2 linked regions of the Anolis sagrei genome follow. The protein of the gene in region 1 purifies or fractionates together with the protein of each later gene. This does not show direct contact. Links are inferred from orthologs where the notes say so. Each region holds a gene or a part of one and is shown on either strand. Other genes may lie near its edges.

The links. The genes of interacting proteins can lie anywhere in the genome.
Region 2: the proteins of CDK13 (region 1) and CCNK purify together in Homo sapiens (affinity purification with mass spectrometry; 4 studies listed by BioGRID and IntAct, counting the BioPlex papers as one, with this or other methods). This does not show direct contact. The link is inferred for Anolis sagrei from reciprocal best matches to the Homo sapiens genes CDK13 and CCNK.

The regions. Positions count from the first base shown.
Region 1 is NC_090026.1:68,619,470-68,627,458, forward strand, and holds the start of CDK13 (cyclin-dependent kinase 13), read right to left. Parts: upstream 3,019-7,989; 5' UTR 2,584-3,018; coding exon 1,517-2,583; intron 1-1,516. UniProt on the Homo sapiens protein: Cyclin-dependent kinase which displays CTD kinase activity and is required for RNA splicing.
Region 2 is NC_090021.1:321,310,812-321,318,775, reverse strand, and holds the start of CCNK (cyclin-K), read right to left. Parts: upstream 3,011-7,964; 5' UTR 2,989-3,010; intron 2,594-2,988; exon of another isoform or gene 2,462-2,593; intron 1-2,461. Other genes in the region: SETD3 (actin-histidine N-methyltransferase), read left to right, coding at 3,533-3,561. UniProt on the Homo sapiens protein: Regulatory subunit of cyclin-dependent kinases that mediates activation of target kinases.

The DNA of each region.
Region 1 (7,989 bases):
CAGATATTGTGGGATTTTCTGTATTGATATTTTGAGATATAGGGCTGTGAGGAAGGGTCCTGAGTGTGGCCTCAGACAACTCAGGGCCCTTCCAGACAGCCCTATATCCCCCAATATCAAAGCAGGAAATCCCACATTATCTGAGTATGAATGCAGATAACCCAGTTCAAAGCAGATATTGTGGGTTTTTCTGCCTTGATATATTCTGGGATATAGACTTGTGTGGAAGGGCCTTGTGTGGATATAGGCTTGTGTGGAGCGCGAGTAGGGCCTCTCCAGATGATCGGAGAGATCATGTGTGTTCGTACACAGAAATGCGGTCACGCAGGTAGGCAGGTCCCAAACCGTTCAGAGCTTTGTAGGTAAGAACCCAAGGCCCTTCCACACAAGTCTATATCCCAGAATATCAAGGCAGAAAATCCCACAATATCTGCTTTGAACTGGGTTATCTGAGTCCATACTAAGATAATGTGGGATTTCCTGCTTTGATATTGGGGGATATAGGGCTGTCTGGAAGGGCCCTGAGTTGTCTGAGGCCACACTCAGGACCCTTCCTCACAGCCCTATATCTCAAAATATCAATACAGAAAATCCCACAATATCTGCTTTGAATTGAATTATCTGAAGACCCTTCTGCACAGCACTATATTCCAGAATATCAAGGCAGAAAAAAATTGAATGTATTGTCGAAGGCTTTCATGGCCGGAATCACTGGGTAGTTGTAGGGTTTTTTGGACTATATGGCCATGTTCTAGAGCAGAGGTTCTCAACCTGGGGTCCCCAGATGTTTTTGGCCTTCAACTCCCAGAAATCCTAACAGCTGGTAAACTGGCTGAGATTTCTGGGAGTTATAGGCCAAAAACATCTGGGGACCCCAAGTTGAGAACCACTGCTCTAGAGGCACTCTCTCCTGACATTTCGCCAGAGGTAGTGCTACCTCTAAGGATGCTTGCCATAGGTGCAGGAGAAACGTCCGGAGAGAATGACTCTAGAACAGTGGTTCTCAACCTGGGGTCCCCAGATGTTTTTGGCCTACAACTCCCAGAAATCCCAGCCACTTTACCAGCTGTTAGGATTTCTGGGAGTTGAAGGCCAAAAACATCTGGGGACCCCAGGTTGAGAACCACTGTATTAAGGTTTACAACAGTGGTTCCCAACCTGTAAGTCCTCAGATGTTTTGGCCTTCAACTCCCAGAAATCCCAACAGATGGTAAACTGGTTGGGATTTCTAGGAGTTGTAGGTCAAAACACCTGGGAACACACAGGTTGAGACCTACTGGTGTAGAGCAACCATCAGCTTCTATGTCCTGATCAACTGCAGTGGTTCTCAACCTTGGGTCCCCAGATGTTTTTGGCCTACAACTCCCAGAAATCCCAGCCAGTTTACCAGCTGTTAGGATTTCTGGGAGTTGAAGGCCAAAGCATCTGGGGAGCCACAGGTTGAGAAACACTGCAATAAATAATCTGTGGTTTGCCCACCCAGCGACAAAAAGGGCCCCGCGGCGGCTCTGCTTACCGGATGGCGGGGCTGTAGGGGCTGCGGGAGCGTCGCCAGGAGCTGTAGTGCCCGGGAGAGCCATCCCCGCCGCCGCCTCCTCCCCCTCCCCCTCCGGAGCTGTGCCGGCTGTAGCTGGGGGAGCGGCGCCGGTAGGGGCTGACGGAGGCGCGCGGGCTGGCGGGCGACTTGCAGCGGCTGCGCTGTCGCTGCGAGGCCCGGTGGGGGCTGCCTTCTCGGCTGGGGCTGCGCCTGTAGGCCCGGGGCTCGGCCTTGTCCTCCCGGTAGGCCTTGGGCGGCTCCTTGTAGGCTTTGGACCGGCGGGCCTTGCCTTCCCGCTCCTTCCTGCTGCTGCTGCTGTTGCCGCTGGGTGAGGCAGCCGAGCTCTTCCTGCGGCCGTCGCTGCCGCCGCCGCCCCCGCTCCGGGGCGCGTCTCCGTGGTTGTGGCGGCTGCGGGGCTTGGAGGAGGAGGAGGAAGAGGAAGGCGCGGGCGGCTCGCTGGCCCCTTCTCCTCCTCCTCCTCCCCCCCTGTCCCTGTCCTTGTCCTCCCCCCGGCGGCGGTGCTCCCTCTGCCGCTCCCGAGAGCGCCTGGCCCCACTCCTGCTGGGGGTCTCCCTGCGGCGGGCGCCCCGCTCCCCCCCTGTCCCTGCCGTCCCCCCTCCGCCCTCGGATTGGGAGCTGACGTCGTCGTACTCCTCCTTGGGCCCGGCCTCGAGCAGCGTTCCCAGCCCGGCCCCGCCCCGCAGCCCGCTCCCCGTCCCGGTGCCGCCTAGCCTGCCCCGCCGCCGCTTGTGCCGGGATCCCGAGCGCCGCTTCCCCCGCGGGCGCTTCCGCTCGCCGCCTTCCCCGGCGCCGCAGCCGGTGGCCGCCAGGAAGAGCAGGGACTGCGGCGGCAGCGGCGGCTGCAGGAGCGAGGAGGGCTGCAGCAGCGGAAACAGCAGCGAGGAAGGAGGCGCCGGAGCCGGAGGAGGAGGCAGGGGCAGCGGCAGCGGCGACGGAGGCCGCAGAGGGCCCGACGGGTAGCGCTTCCGCCGCCGGTGGTGCGCCCGCTTCTTCGCCTCCGGCGGCGACTCCGACGTGCTCGGCATCGGGGCGGAACGGGGCTCCGTCAAGGCGCCCACCAAGAAGAATTAGAAGAGGAGGAGGAGGCAGCCATCTTCCTCTTCCTCGTCAGGCGAGTCTTCCTCTTCCGCCGCCGGCCTTGGCTTCCTGTCCCGGCTGGGCCCGAGTGCGGCCTGTCTTCCTGAAGAGAACCTCTCCGCCTCTCCTCAGCGCACAACACTTCGCCGCCTCTCCTTCCTTCCTGTCCGCGCGGGAGACGCCAAGTGCCCGCCCTGAGGCCCTTCTCCGTCGCTCCCTCGCCACACAGAAGACCCCGAAAGCGAGACCTAACCGCGACTGCGCCTGCGCGGAAGCAAAGACGGCACCGGCCGCTCTCGAAGCTGGAGGGTTCTGATTGCGCCTTCCTCACAGCGTCGGCCACCAAACCTCGCGAGACTTGGCCTGCGCCGCCCTCCTGCCGGAAGCTCCGCAAACAGGCGCTTCCGAGGAGACGTTGAAGGCTCAAGCTCGTCCAGTTAAGGTCGCCGTGGTTCCGCCCTCAGACTTCCGGTTCCTCCACGCGCGGGGCGGCAGCAAAACATTTCACAGGCTCAGAGAATGTTGTCAAAGGCTTTCATGGCTGGAATCACTGGGTTTTGGAGGTGTTTCGGGCTATGTGGCCATGTTCTCAACCTGTGGGTCTTCAGGTGTTTTGGCCTACAACTCCCAGAAATCCCAGCCAATTTATCACCTGTTAGGACAGTGTTTCTCAACCTGGGGGTCGGGAACCCGGGGGGGGGGGCGCAAGGAGGAGTCAGAGGGGTCGCCAAAGACCATCTGAAAACGCAGTATTTGCTTTTGGTCATGAGGGTTCTGTGTGGGAAGTCTGGCCCAATTGTATCGTTGGTGGGGTACAGAATGCTCTTTGATTGTAGGTGAACTATAAATCCCAGCAACTACAACTCCCAAATGCCAAGGCCTATTTTCTCCAAACTCCACCAGTGTTCACATTTCGGCATATTGAGCATTTCTGCCAAGTTTGGTCCAGATCTACCATTGGTTGAGGCCACAGTGCTCTCTGGGTGTAGGCAAACTACAACTATAAAACTCAACGTCAATGCCCACCAATCCAGTATTTTCTGTTGGCAATGGGAGTTCTGTGTGCCAAGTTTGGTTCAATTCCATCTTTGGTGGAATTCCAAATGCTCTTTAATTGAATGTTAACTATAAATCCCAGCGACTACAACTCCCAAATGACAAATTCAACCCCCCCCCCCCCCAAACCCCACCAGTACTCCAATTTGGGTGTATTGGGTATTTGTGCCAAATTTGGTCCAGTGAATGAAAATACATCCTGCATATCAGATATTTACATTACAATTCACAAGAATAATGTTATGGTTGGGGGTCACCACAACATAGGGAACAGTATTAAGGGGTCGCAGCATTAGGAAGGTTGAGAAACACTGTGTTAGGATTTCTGGGAGTTGAAGGCCAAAACATCTGGGGACCCACAGGTTAAGAACCACTGTTCTAGAAGCATTCTCTCCTGATGTTTTGCCTGCATCTATGGCAAGCATCCTCAGTTTGTGAGGTCTACTTACACTTCACAACCTCTGAGGAGACCTCACAACCTCTGAGGATGCTTGCCTGTTTGCTGTATCATAATGTTGTTTTAAGGAAAGCACCTCGCCGTGAAGACCTTTCTGTAAAACATGCTTTTCTTTCAGTGTTGAAAAAACGTCATTAAACACTCCTCTGCCATAGGTACTGTGCCATTATCCTGGTGGAAGCCAAAAGGAGGCGCTAGACAGAGGAGGATCATCCATTTTAAGGTGGGGGGGGGGGAGTTGAAGGAGGAAAACCATTTCCCTGTTTGTGCTACTTATTCCCCCTCCCCACTTCCCATTTAATAAACAAGAGTTGTTTCCATGAGAGTGACACAAGGTGAGAGGAACAACTGGAAAACGGGGAAATTATTTTCCTCCATCATAGAATCAAAGAGTTGGAAGAGACCTCATGGGCCATCCAGTCCAACCCCCTGCCAAGAAGCAGGAATATTGCATTCAAATCACCCCTGACAGATGGCCATCCAGCCTCTGTTTAAAAGCTTCCACAGAAGGAGCCTCCACCACGCTTCGGGGCAGAGAGTTCCACTGCTGAACAGCTCTCACAGTCAGGAAGTTCTTCCTCATGTTCAGATGAAAGCTCCTTTCTTGTAGTTTGAAGCCATTGTTCCACGTCCTAGTCTTTAGGGAAGCAGAAAACAAGCTTGCTCCCTCCTCCCTGTGGCTTCCTCTCACATATTTATACATGGCTATCATATCTCCTCTCAGCCTTGTCTTCTTCAGGCTAAACATGCCCAGCTCCTTAAGCCGCTCCTCATAGGGCTTGTTCTCCAGACCCTTGATCATTTTAGTCGCCCTCCTCTGGACACATTCCAGCTTGTCAATATCTCTCTTGAATTGTGGTGCCCAGAATTGGACACAATATTCCAGGTGTGGTCTAACCAAAGTGGAATAGAGGGCTAGCATTACTTCCCTAGATCTAGACACTATGCTTCTATTGATGCAGGCCAAAATCCCATTTTCGTTCTTTTTTTGCAGCCACATCACATTGTTGGCTCATGTTTAACTTGTTATTTTAAGGAAAGCACCTCGCTCTGAAGACCTTTCTGTAAAACATGCTTTTCTTTCAGTGTTGAGAACACGTCATTAAACACTCCTCGGCAATAGGTACTGTGCCATTATCCTGGTGGAGGCCAAAAGGAGGCGCTAGACAGAGGAGGATCATCCATTTTAAGGTGGGGGGGGGGAGTTGAAGGAGGAAAACCATTTCCCTGTTTGTGCTACTTATTCCCCCTCCCCACTTCCCATTTAATAAACGAGGTTGTTTCCATGAGGGTGACACAGGTGAGAGGAACAACTGGAAAACGGGGAAAATTATTTTCCTCCATCAAACCCCGCCCCCGCTGAAAATGGATTTTTCTTCTCTGTCTAGTACCCCCTTTTGGCCTCCACCCGAATACTGGAACAGTACAGAGAAGTCTTCTCTCACTTTCTGAACAGCTGCATATCACTTTTAGCTTTTTTCTCTTCTGCTGCAGGATCCTCTTTCCCTGGAAAGTTAATGGGCAAATGAACCAAGGCCTCTCTTGACTTAAAACACTGGGAAGGTTTATACGTTCCTTCATAACAATAATTCTTCCAAATGCTGGACTATCAACATTTTTTTATTATTATTTTACTGACACAAAAGCACAGTATGTCACAGCAAACGAGATCTATATGCTGGATTTCGTATCACAAAATCACAAGTCAAACATTTCCCAAGCATCTAGGACTGTGTGATGTATTTTCGAATGATGCGCGCAGATCCAAGTAAGGTGGCCTTTTGTAGTTGACAGGTCGTGATTTTGTCAATGTTTATTGTTTCCAAATGCCGGCTGAGGATTTTTAGCACGGCAGCCAGTGTGCCAATGACTACTGGGACCACCTGTCCTGGTTTATGCCAGAGCTTTAGCAATTCAATTTTGAGGTCCTGATAACGGCTGAGTTTTTCCTGTAGTATTATTATTACTATTATTATTAATGGTATTTAAACAGTTGCTGAAAAAGCCCTTCCTAGATCCCAGGGACTTTAACAACTACAGACCAGTGTCTAACTTTCCTTTTTTGCGCAAGGTGATTGAGAAGGCTGTTGCCCTCCAATTCCAGGCAGTCTTGGACGATGCACACTTTCTTGACCTATTTCAAACTGGCTTCAGAGCAGCATACGGAGTTTAGACTGCTATGGTCACCTTCGTGGATGATACCTGTCTTAACACTGACAAGGGGTTTATGTCCTTGTTGGTGCTTCTAGACCTCTCAGCAGCCTTTGATACCATTGACCATAGTATCCTTCTGGAACATCTGGAGGCATCTCCCAGATGCCAGGCAGGTTCCAAATGGTGGTGCTTGGAGATAGCAACTTCTCAAAAAAGGAGCTGTCATGTGGTGTCCCACAAGGTGGTATTCTACCCCATTGCTCTTTAATATTTACATGAAGCCCATTGGGAGAGATCATCCATAGGCATGGGACAGGGTGTTATCAGTATGATGATGACACCCAAATATATTTCTCCATGTCTTCAAAAACAGCCTCAGCTAAAGATACTGTGTCTCCTCTGAATGAATTCCTGGAGGAGGTAATGGGTTGGATGAAGAAAAGCAAATTGAAACTGAATCCAGAAAAAAAGAGGTGCTTGCCATTAAAGGTCCCAATCTCTGGAAGGAGATGTGTCAACCAGTTCGATGGTGTTAGACTCGCCCCAAAAGACTGTGTTTGCAACTTGGGGACTGCCAATTAATTTCCAGGCAAAGTACAAGATGTTGGGTTTGACCTTTAAAACCATGCATGGTTTGAGTCCAGGTTGCCTAAAGATCACCTTCTCCCGTACAATCCGCCCCACACACTGACAGTCCTCTAAGGGGCATATGCTCCAACCAGCCAGAACCTGATTGGCAACTGTCACCCAGATGACTTTTTCATCAGCCGCCCCCAAGACTGTGGAACAACCTGCCAGTAGAGTTCTGACAGCTGTCAGAATTTAAAAACCATGGAAAGACCTATCTCTTCTGGCAGGCCAGCCAGTCTTTAAGCATGAATTTTAAACTCATGTAGTGTGTTTTGGTCTCTGTCCTATGTTATTAATGTGTATTTTACAGAAATACTTTGATCTGTATATTTTATGGAACTAAATTTTAATGTGTGTTTGTAGAATTCTTATAGTATTTGACTGTGCTATGACCCGCCTCGAGCCATGGGAAGAGGTGGGTAAGAAATATTGTTTCTAGAACATGGCCATATAGCCCAAAAAACCTACAACAACCCAGTGATTCCAGCCATGAAAGCCTTCAACAACACAATATTATTATTATTATTATTTCTCCCCAAAGGGATTCAAGGCAGCTAACAAATGAACACATGCAATACATATTTAAAATAAATACCAAAATTAAAAACAAATCTACATTTGTGGGTGGATATAAAATTAAAAATGCAGTTCAAATACAAGAAATACAATTAAAATTACATATAAAATTCACCATATCACCCCCCCCCCCCCAAAGTCTGATGGCAAAGTAATGGCTTAACTTGCAAGCGGGGATGGGGCCATCCTTGGTCTCTCTTGGGAGGGAGTCCCAAAGTCTGGGAGCAGCCACCAAAAAGACCCTTTCCATTGTTCCCACCAAACGTACTTGTGCAAGTGGTGGGACAGAGAGAAGGCCCTCCCCAGAGGATCGTAGGTATCTGATATGTTCATAGAGAGAGATATGATCCTTCAAATAACCTGGACCTAAGCTGTAAACGCCGAAATACTGCCTTTTAATCAAGTAAAACATGTAATATGTTAAAGAGAGCACATACATTTTCTACATATACAAGGGTGCCAAAACGGTATATCAATTCTA
Region 2 (7,964 bases), on another chromosome or scaffold:
GTATGCACCTATATTATAAAAAAATAAAAATAAAAATTGGGTTTTAATAAGTTTTGAAAAAAGGAAGTTATGCTGCCTCACCCTGTATTATCACGGGGAAAAGGTGTCTCAACTGAAGCTTTATCACCAATCCTTGTTTCCTCAACAAGCCACATTTTCCTAAACCCAATTCTCAAAGGGACACAAAGTGAGGTGAAATAATAATAATAATAATAATAATAATAATCTTTATTTATACCCTGCCACCATCTCCCCAGTGGGGACTCGGGGTGGCTTACATGAGGCCACGCCCAAAACAATAAATTACAACAGAGTAAAACCGAAAACGCAAACCGAAAACAATAAACAACATCAGAATTACATAAAATATATGAATACATAACAATATAAAATTACAATAAGCACAATCACAGTGACAATGTAATAATGTAATAATTAAAAGAAAAACTAATTTAAAACTCAGGTGAGATAAAGGAGAAGCAGGTTATTTGTGGAGGAGGCCTCATTAGAGTGGGTTTTGTGGAATCAAGCTTTCCATAAAGGGACGGACGGACGTATACTCCAATGACAGAACGTTGAGGCTAAGCAATAGCGTGAGGTTATAATAATAATATAATAAAACTTTATTTATACCCCGCTACCATCACCCCAAGGGACTCGGTGCGGCTTACATGAGGCTGAGCCCACAGCACATCAATAAAAAAGCAAGAACAAACAAGCAATACAAAATAGTTAAAATAAATGTCATAAACAAAAAAGCAATGAACATTAACAGTAATACATTTATTTATTTATTTAGAAATTTTATATACCAGTCTTCTCACCTCCAGCGAGGGACTCAGGCCGGTTTACAACAAAGGAATTCATACACAATAGTTTAAAAACATCACATCCAATAATACACTAATATAAACACATATCATATAATTATATAAGGCCAAATCGTTAACATAAAATCACTATTCATCCCCATCCGTCCGTGTGGTCAAGAGTTATTGCCTCACTCATCAAATGCCAAATTCCAGAGCCAGGTTTTCACCCACTTTCTAAAGGTCAGGAGGGTGGTGGCGGCCCCCGACTCTGGAACACCCTCTCCAAAGATCTTAGACAGGCCCCTACATTGGCAGTCTTTAGAAAGAACTTGAAGACCTGGCTGTTCTGATGTGCCTTTCCAGAATAGGAACCTCCAATAACAAGTCCCAGAAGCACTTTATTAGAACTAAGATTGCTGCACACCTCACACTGCACTTACCCTAGAATCCTTACATATCACCTGTCACATCAGCACTTTTAATCCTGTACCCATTACTCTGGCCCGGCACAGTTTTATAGTGTCTCGATGTATTGTTTATTGCTTGTTGTTTAATATTGCTTTAATTGTTTTTAATTTGCTTTAGGTGTTGTATTGTTATGTTGTGTTTTGAGGCCTTGGCCTTTGTGAGCCGCATCGAGTCCTTCGGGAGATGCTAGAGGGGTACAAATAAAGTTAATAATAATAATAATAATAATAGTATGAAGAAATTGAAGAATGGGTAAAAATATAAGAAATAGATCGTTCAAGAGAATTGAGGAACAAGAACATATGACATATAGATAATGGAGAATATAACGATCTATTTTTTCTCCTCTTTTTGTCTTTGTAAATACGAATAAATATCTACATATTGTTAAAGATGAAATAGTAGACTGATAAGGCATGATAGGAAGAAGGAGAAAATTAAAAGTTATGTAAATATAGAAGAACGGATATTGTCACTGAAATACCGTAGAAGAGAGAAGTGGAGGTCTGCTGCCGTAGCGGGCACCCTCATTTTAATATACTTGTAGTTAGTATGTTGTGTTAGTTTGTCGATGTTAGTTAGTTAGGTCTTTGGATGTGTCTATGTATGTCTATAGCTATGTTTTGCTTTGTTCTGTCTGTCTTTTTTATCATTGTAATAATAAAATTTAATAAATAATAATAATAATGGGCAGTTCTAATCACCAATGGGAGAAAGTTCCAGAGCCGAGGTGCCACCACCGAGAAGGCCCTGTCCCTCGTCCCCACCAGACGGTGAGTATCACAAGAACGTTTAAAACCTATGTAATTGTAATAATTACAATTTAAAAATAATAATGCTGGGTATGAAACAGGTAAGATATAAATGGGATAAAGTTTCAGAGAGGGATGAGGCGTTCTACCTACTCACCAAAGGCGCAGCGGAAGAATCAGGTTTTAAGGTTCTTTTTAAAGGTTTCTAGGGTAGGTAGGGGCTTTCCTAGTTTCTCCAGGTAGTTAAATCTTCTGAACAGGGGTCCAGACAGCAAAACAAACACCACTGTGGTAGGAGCTATGCTATCCAATGAATGTATATACCAGGCATGGGCAAACTTGGGCCCTCCAGGTGTTTTGGACTTCAACTCCCACAATTCCTAACAGCCTCATTGTTTCTCCCTCACAGGTGTTCGTTCAGTCACCCACTCGCTCAGAAGCTGGAGAGACTCACCGAACTCGCGCGAGCAATGAAGCCTCAACCACGCCAGCGCGGAGCCATCTTGGAAGACTCTGAGCAAAGCCTTTGCTGACGTCATTCCGTCGGCTCGCGAGAGGCTGCGTATTGCCTCACTATTCTCCCTGTGGACGCTTTACCCCGCCTCCTCTTTCATGCGCATGCGTCAAAAGGGCTGCTTGTCTCCGCGATGTCAATAACGCTTGCAAGCCAATCAGCGCCGCGAGGAGAGAAAAAAACAAAGTAGGCGGATCAATATGACTCCCCACCAATGAGAATGCGATTCTCGTCCCTCCCTCCTTCTCTAAGACTTTTATTGGTTCTTCCCTTTTTCTCACACGCCTTGCGCATGGACCGGATTGGTCAGTAAGTCCTGAGTGCTGTTACTGGGAACCAATCGCAACCGAGATAGAAGCCAACTTGGAAGCAGGCTTACAGGAGGAGGACTGGGAGGGCGAGTATTTCCACACATGCGCACAGTGGCGTTAACTTGTCTTACCTTCTTTCCACATGTCCCGCCCCTGTATGCGATTGGAGGAAAAAGAACAGGCATTGGGACCGGATTGGACAATTAACCAGAGTGATAAAAGTGGGAACCAATAGAAGCCATAGACAGACCCTGTAAGACCGACGGAGTGAGAGAGGGAAGGCATGCGCGTGTATGTACGCATGCGCACGGTGGCACTGTGGATAGCGCACGCTCTTCCGCTCCACCCAAACGCCCCGCCTCTCCTTGCGATAGGAGGAAAAATGAGCTCGGATTGGCCATCCGTCCCGAGTGCCATCAATGTGAACCAATCGCAGCTTCAAGAGGGAGTGAGGGAAGGCGTGCGCGTGAATAGACGCATGCGCACGGTGGCTCTGTGATTGCTGCTCGCTCAACAGCTTCCCACCTCCGGAACGATGGGAGGGAGGGGGAAAGAAATTAAGCACTGAGATCGGATTGGCCAGCGTTTCGAGTGGCAGAAGAGGGAACCAATCCCAGCGACGAAGGGAGCCTGGGCGTTCGCGCTTGGGAGACGGGCCTAGAGGAGGGCCAGAGCATGCGCGGGTGCCCAGTAGGGACGACAGAGTGAGAGAGTGAGGGAGGGTGGGACGGCGTGCTTGTACGCATGCGCGTGGTGGGGCTGTGGTTGGCTCCGCGGCCGCCCGCGCCGCCGCCTCTCCCCTTCGCCGCCCGGTGAGAGGATTCGAGGGGTCGTCGCCCGAAAGAGAAGGTAACGGCGGGAAGGCCCCCCTTGTCTCCCCTTGCCTCGCTCCGCACGCTCCTGGATGTCACCTCAGGAAGTGGCAACAGGGCCTCGGCCTCTACCTCACGGAAACACGCGTTTTGTGAGGGCCTCAGGAACCCCATCATTCATTCCCGCCCTCTCCGTTCACACGAGACTTCTTTGACACGCGACTCCGTGTTCATTTGGAATCACAGCCTCTTCCCTGAACTCTCATCACTCAAGGCCTGCCTCCCGCCCCCTTTTCCCTCCAATTTACAAGCCTTGCAAAAGTCAGGCTCAAAAGATATATTATAGAAATTTACCCTTTGTATCACAACGTGGCTTGACATGTGTAAGATAATGATTTCATGAAAGAATGATTCATTTGTTGACTTAAACTCTCATCTTTCTCCTATAATACAGGGACTTGGGTTATTGTAGGTTTTTTCGGGCAATATGGCCATGTTCTAGAGCAGTGGTTCTCAACCTGGGGTCCCCAGATGTTTTTGGCCTACAACTCCCAGAAATCCCAGCCAGTTTACCAGCTAGGTTCTTGTGGGTTTTTTCGGGCTATAGAGCCATGTTCTAGAGGCATTTCTCCTGACGTTTCGCCTGCATCTATGGCAAGCATCCTCAGAGATAGTGAGGTCCCCAGATGTTTTTGGCCTTCAACTCCCAGAAACCCTAACAGACCTCACTACCTCTGAGGGTGCTTGCCATAGATGCAGGCGAAACGTCAGTTGAAATGCCTCTAGAACATGGCTCTATACCCCGAAAAAACCCACAAGAACCTAGTGATTCCCCACATGTTTTTGGCCTTCAACTCCCAGAAACCCTAACAGACCTCACTACCTCTGAGGATGCTTGCCAAGGATGCAGGCGAAACGTCAGGAGAAATGCCTCTAGAACATGGCTCTATAGCCCGAAAAAACCCACAAGAACCTAGTGATTCCAGCCATGAAAGCCTTCGACAGTACAGTTTACCAGCTGTTAGGGTTTCTGGGAGTTGAAGGCCAAAAACATCTAGGGACCCCAGGTTGAGAACCAGTGTTCTAGAGGCATTTTCTCCTGATGTTTTGCCTGAATCTATGGCAATGTATGTCAGGAGAGAATGCCTCTAGAACAGTGTTTCTCAACCTTCCTAATGCCGCAACCCCTTAATCCAGTTCCTCATGTTGTGGTGACCCCCAACCATAACATTATTTTACTACTTCATAACTGTAATTTTGCTCCTGTTATGAATGGTACTGCAATTATCTGATAAGCAGGACGTATCTTCACTGGATCAAATTTGGCACAAATACCTGATATGCCCAAATTTGAATAGTAGTGGGATTGGGAGGAGGGGGGATTGATTGATTTTGTTATTTGGGAGTTCGAGTTGTTGGGATTTATAATTCACCTACAGTCTGAACTCCACCAATGATGAAATTGAACCAAACCTGGAACACAAAACTCCCATGGCCAACAGAAAACACTGGAAGGGTTTGGTGGGCATTGACCTTGACTTTGGGAGTTGTAGTTCACCTATATCCAGAGAGCACTGTGGACTCAAACAAGAATGGATCAGGACTAAACTTGTTGTGAAAAGTCAATATGCCCTAATGTGAACACTGGTGGAGTTTGAAGAAAATAGACTTGACATTTGGGAGTTGTAGTTGCTGGGATTTATAGTTCACCTACAATCAAAGAGCATTCTGAACCCCACCAACAATCAAATTGGGCCAAACTTCCTACACAGAACCCCCATGATAAACATAAAATACTGTGTTTTCTGATGGTCTTTGACGACCCCTCTCACATCCCCCGGCGACCCCCTCAGGGATCCCGACCCCCAGGTTGAGAACTACTGCTCTAGAACATGGCCATGTAGCCCGAAAAAACCTACAACAACCCACTGATTCCGGCCATGAAAGCCTTTGACAATACATGAATACAGGGACTTATTAAGTCATGAAGTTTGCGAAAGACCTGTCCGTTACGCGACATTTTGTGTTACACTTTTCTAAAGCTGGGTCTACACTGCCATATAATGGAGTTTGGACTGGTCATGTGTCAGATTCATGGCCCGTGGGCCGGATCCAGCCCACCAATGTCATTTTGTGTGGCCCTCCAAATGCTGGGCTACAATTCCTGTATTCCTCATCATTAGATACAAATTAGCTGTTTATATGAGCACATACATACATACACATACGCATACCTCAGTGGTTCTCAACCTGTGAGTCCCCAGTTCTGGCCTACAACTCCCAGAAACCTCAGCCAGTTTGCCAGCTGTTAGGATTTCAGAGAATCATAGAATCAAAGAGTTGGAAGAGACCTCATGGGCCATCCAGTCCAACCCCCTGCCAAGAAGCAGGAATATTGCATTCAAATCACCCCTGACAGATGGCCATCCAGCCTCTGTTTAAAAGCCTCCAAAGAAGGAGCCTCCACCACACTCCGGGGCAGAGAGTTCCACTGCTGAACGGCTCTCACAGTCATATAATCATACAATCAAAGAGTTGGAAGAGACCTCATGGGCCATCCAGTCCAGCCCCCTGCCAAGAAGCAGGAATATTGCATTCAAATCACCCCTGACAGATGGCCATCCAGCCTCTGTTTAAAAGCTTCCAAAGAAGGAGCCTCCACCACACTCCGGGGCAGAGAGTTCCACTGCTGAACGGCTCTCACAGTCAGGAAGTTCTTCCTCATGTTTAGGTGGAATCTCCTCTCTTGTAGTTTGAAGCCATTGTTCCATTGCATCCTAGTCTCCAAGGAAGCAGAAAACAAGCTTGCTCCCTCCTCCCTGTGGCTTCCTCCCACATATTTATACATGGCTATCATATCCCCTCTCAGCCTTCTCTTCTTCAGGCTAAACATGCCCAGCTCCTTAAGCCGCTCCTCATAGGGCTTGTTCTCCAGACCCTTGATCATTTGAGTCGCCCTCCCCTGGACACATTCCAGCTTGTCAATATCTCTCTTGAATTGTGGTGCCCAGAATTGGACAATATATTCCAGGTGTGGTCTAACCAAAGCGGAATAGAGGGGTAGCATGACTTCCCTAGATCTAGATACTATGCTCCTATTGATGCAGGCCAAAATCCCATTGGCTTTTTTTTGCCGCGACATCACATTGTTGGCTCATGTTTAACTTGTTGTTCACGAGGACTCCAAGATCTTTTTCACATGTACTGCTCTCAAGCCAGGCGTCCCCCATTCTGTATCTTTGCATTTCTTTTTTCCTGCCAAAGTGGCGTATCTTGCATTTGTCATTCTGGGAGTTGAAGGCCAAAACAGCTGGGGACCTACAGGTTCAGAATAATAATAATAAAAAAACTTTATTTATATTCCGTTCTACATCCCCAAAGGGACTCAGGGTGGATTCCAAACATAAAAGTCAAACCTTCAATACCTGAATACGACAATACATCCATATTAACAAAATTTATACAACCCAACATATAAATACAAATTATAACTTAACAAACTAAAATTAAATAAAATGCACAGCCTGTTACAGCAGACATAGGACAAAACATCAAATGGAAACAATAATTTCCCATTTCTTTGGGACAAATCGATTATTCATTGCTCAAGATATTTATTGAGCTAGTGGGGTGAGCAGGGCACAGATATGGATGGCAACTATTTATCAGAGGTATAATGGTAGTATTACCAACTACTATTCCTCCTCCTTGTAAGCCAGTGAGCAAAGGTATGTCTTCGGCTGTTTTTTTGGAGCCCCTTGTGGTGCAGTCGGTTAAACCCCTGTGTCGGCAGGACTGAAGACCGACAGGTCGCAGGTTCGAATCTGGGGAGAGGCGGATGAGCTCCCTCTATCAACTCCAGCTCCTCATGCGGGGACATGAGAAAAGCCTCCCACAAGGATGATAAAAACATCAAATCATCCGGGCGTCCCCTGGGTAACGTCCTTGCAGACGGCCAATTCTCTCACACCAGAAGCGACTTGCAATTTCTCAAGTCGCTCCTGACACGACAAAAAAAAGCTGTTTTTTGAAAGCAGGGAGGGAGAACCACTGAATAAATCCATTTTCTTCTGTAACGGTAGACACAGAACATCTGCAGTGTTGCAAAACCTTCCTCATTGGCTATGAATTCTTAATGGTGCCCCCAGTGGTGCAATGGGTCAAACTCTTGTGCCGTCCGGACTACTGACCAAAAGGTCAGCGGTTCGAATCTGGGGAGCAGGATGAGCTCCTGTCTGTCAACTCCATCTTCTCATGTGGGGACATGAGAGAGGTCTCTCACAGGATGGCAAAAC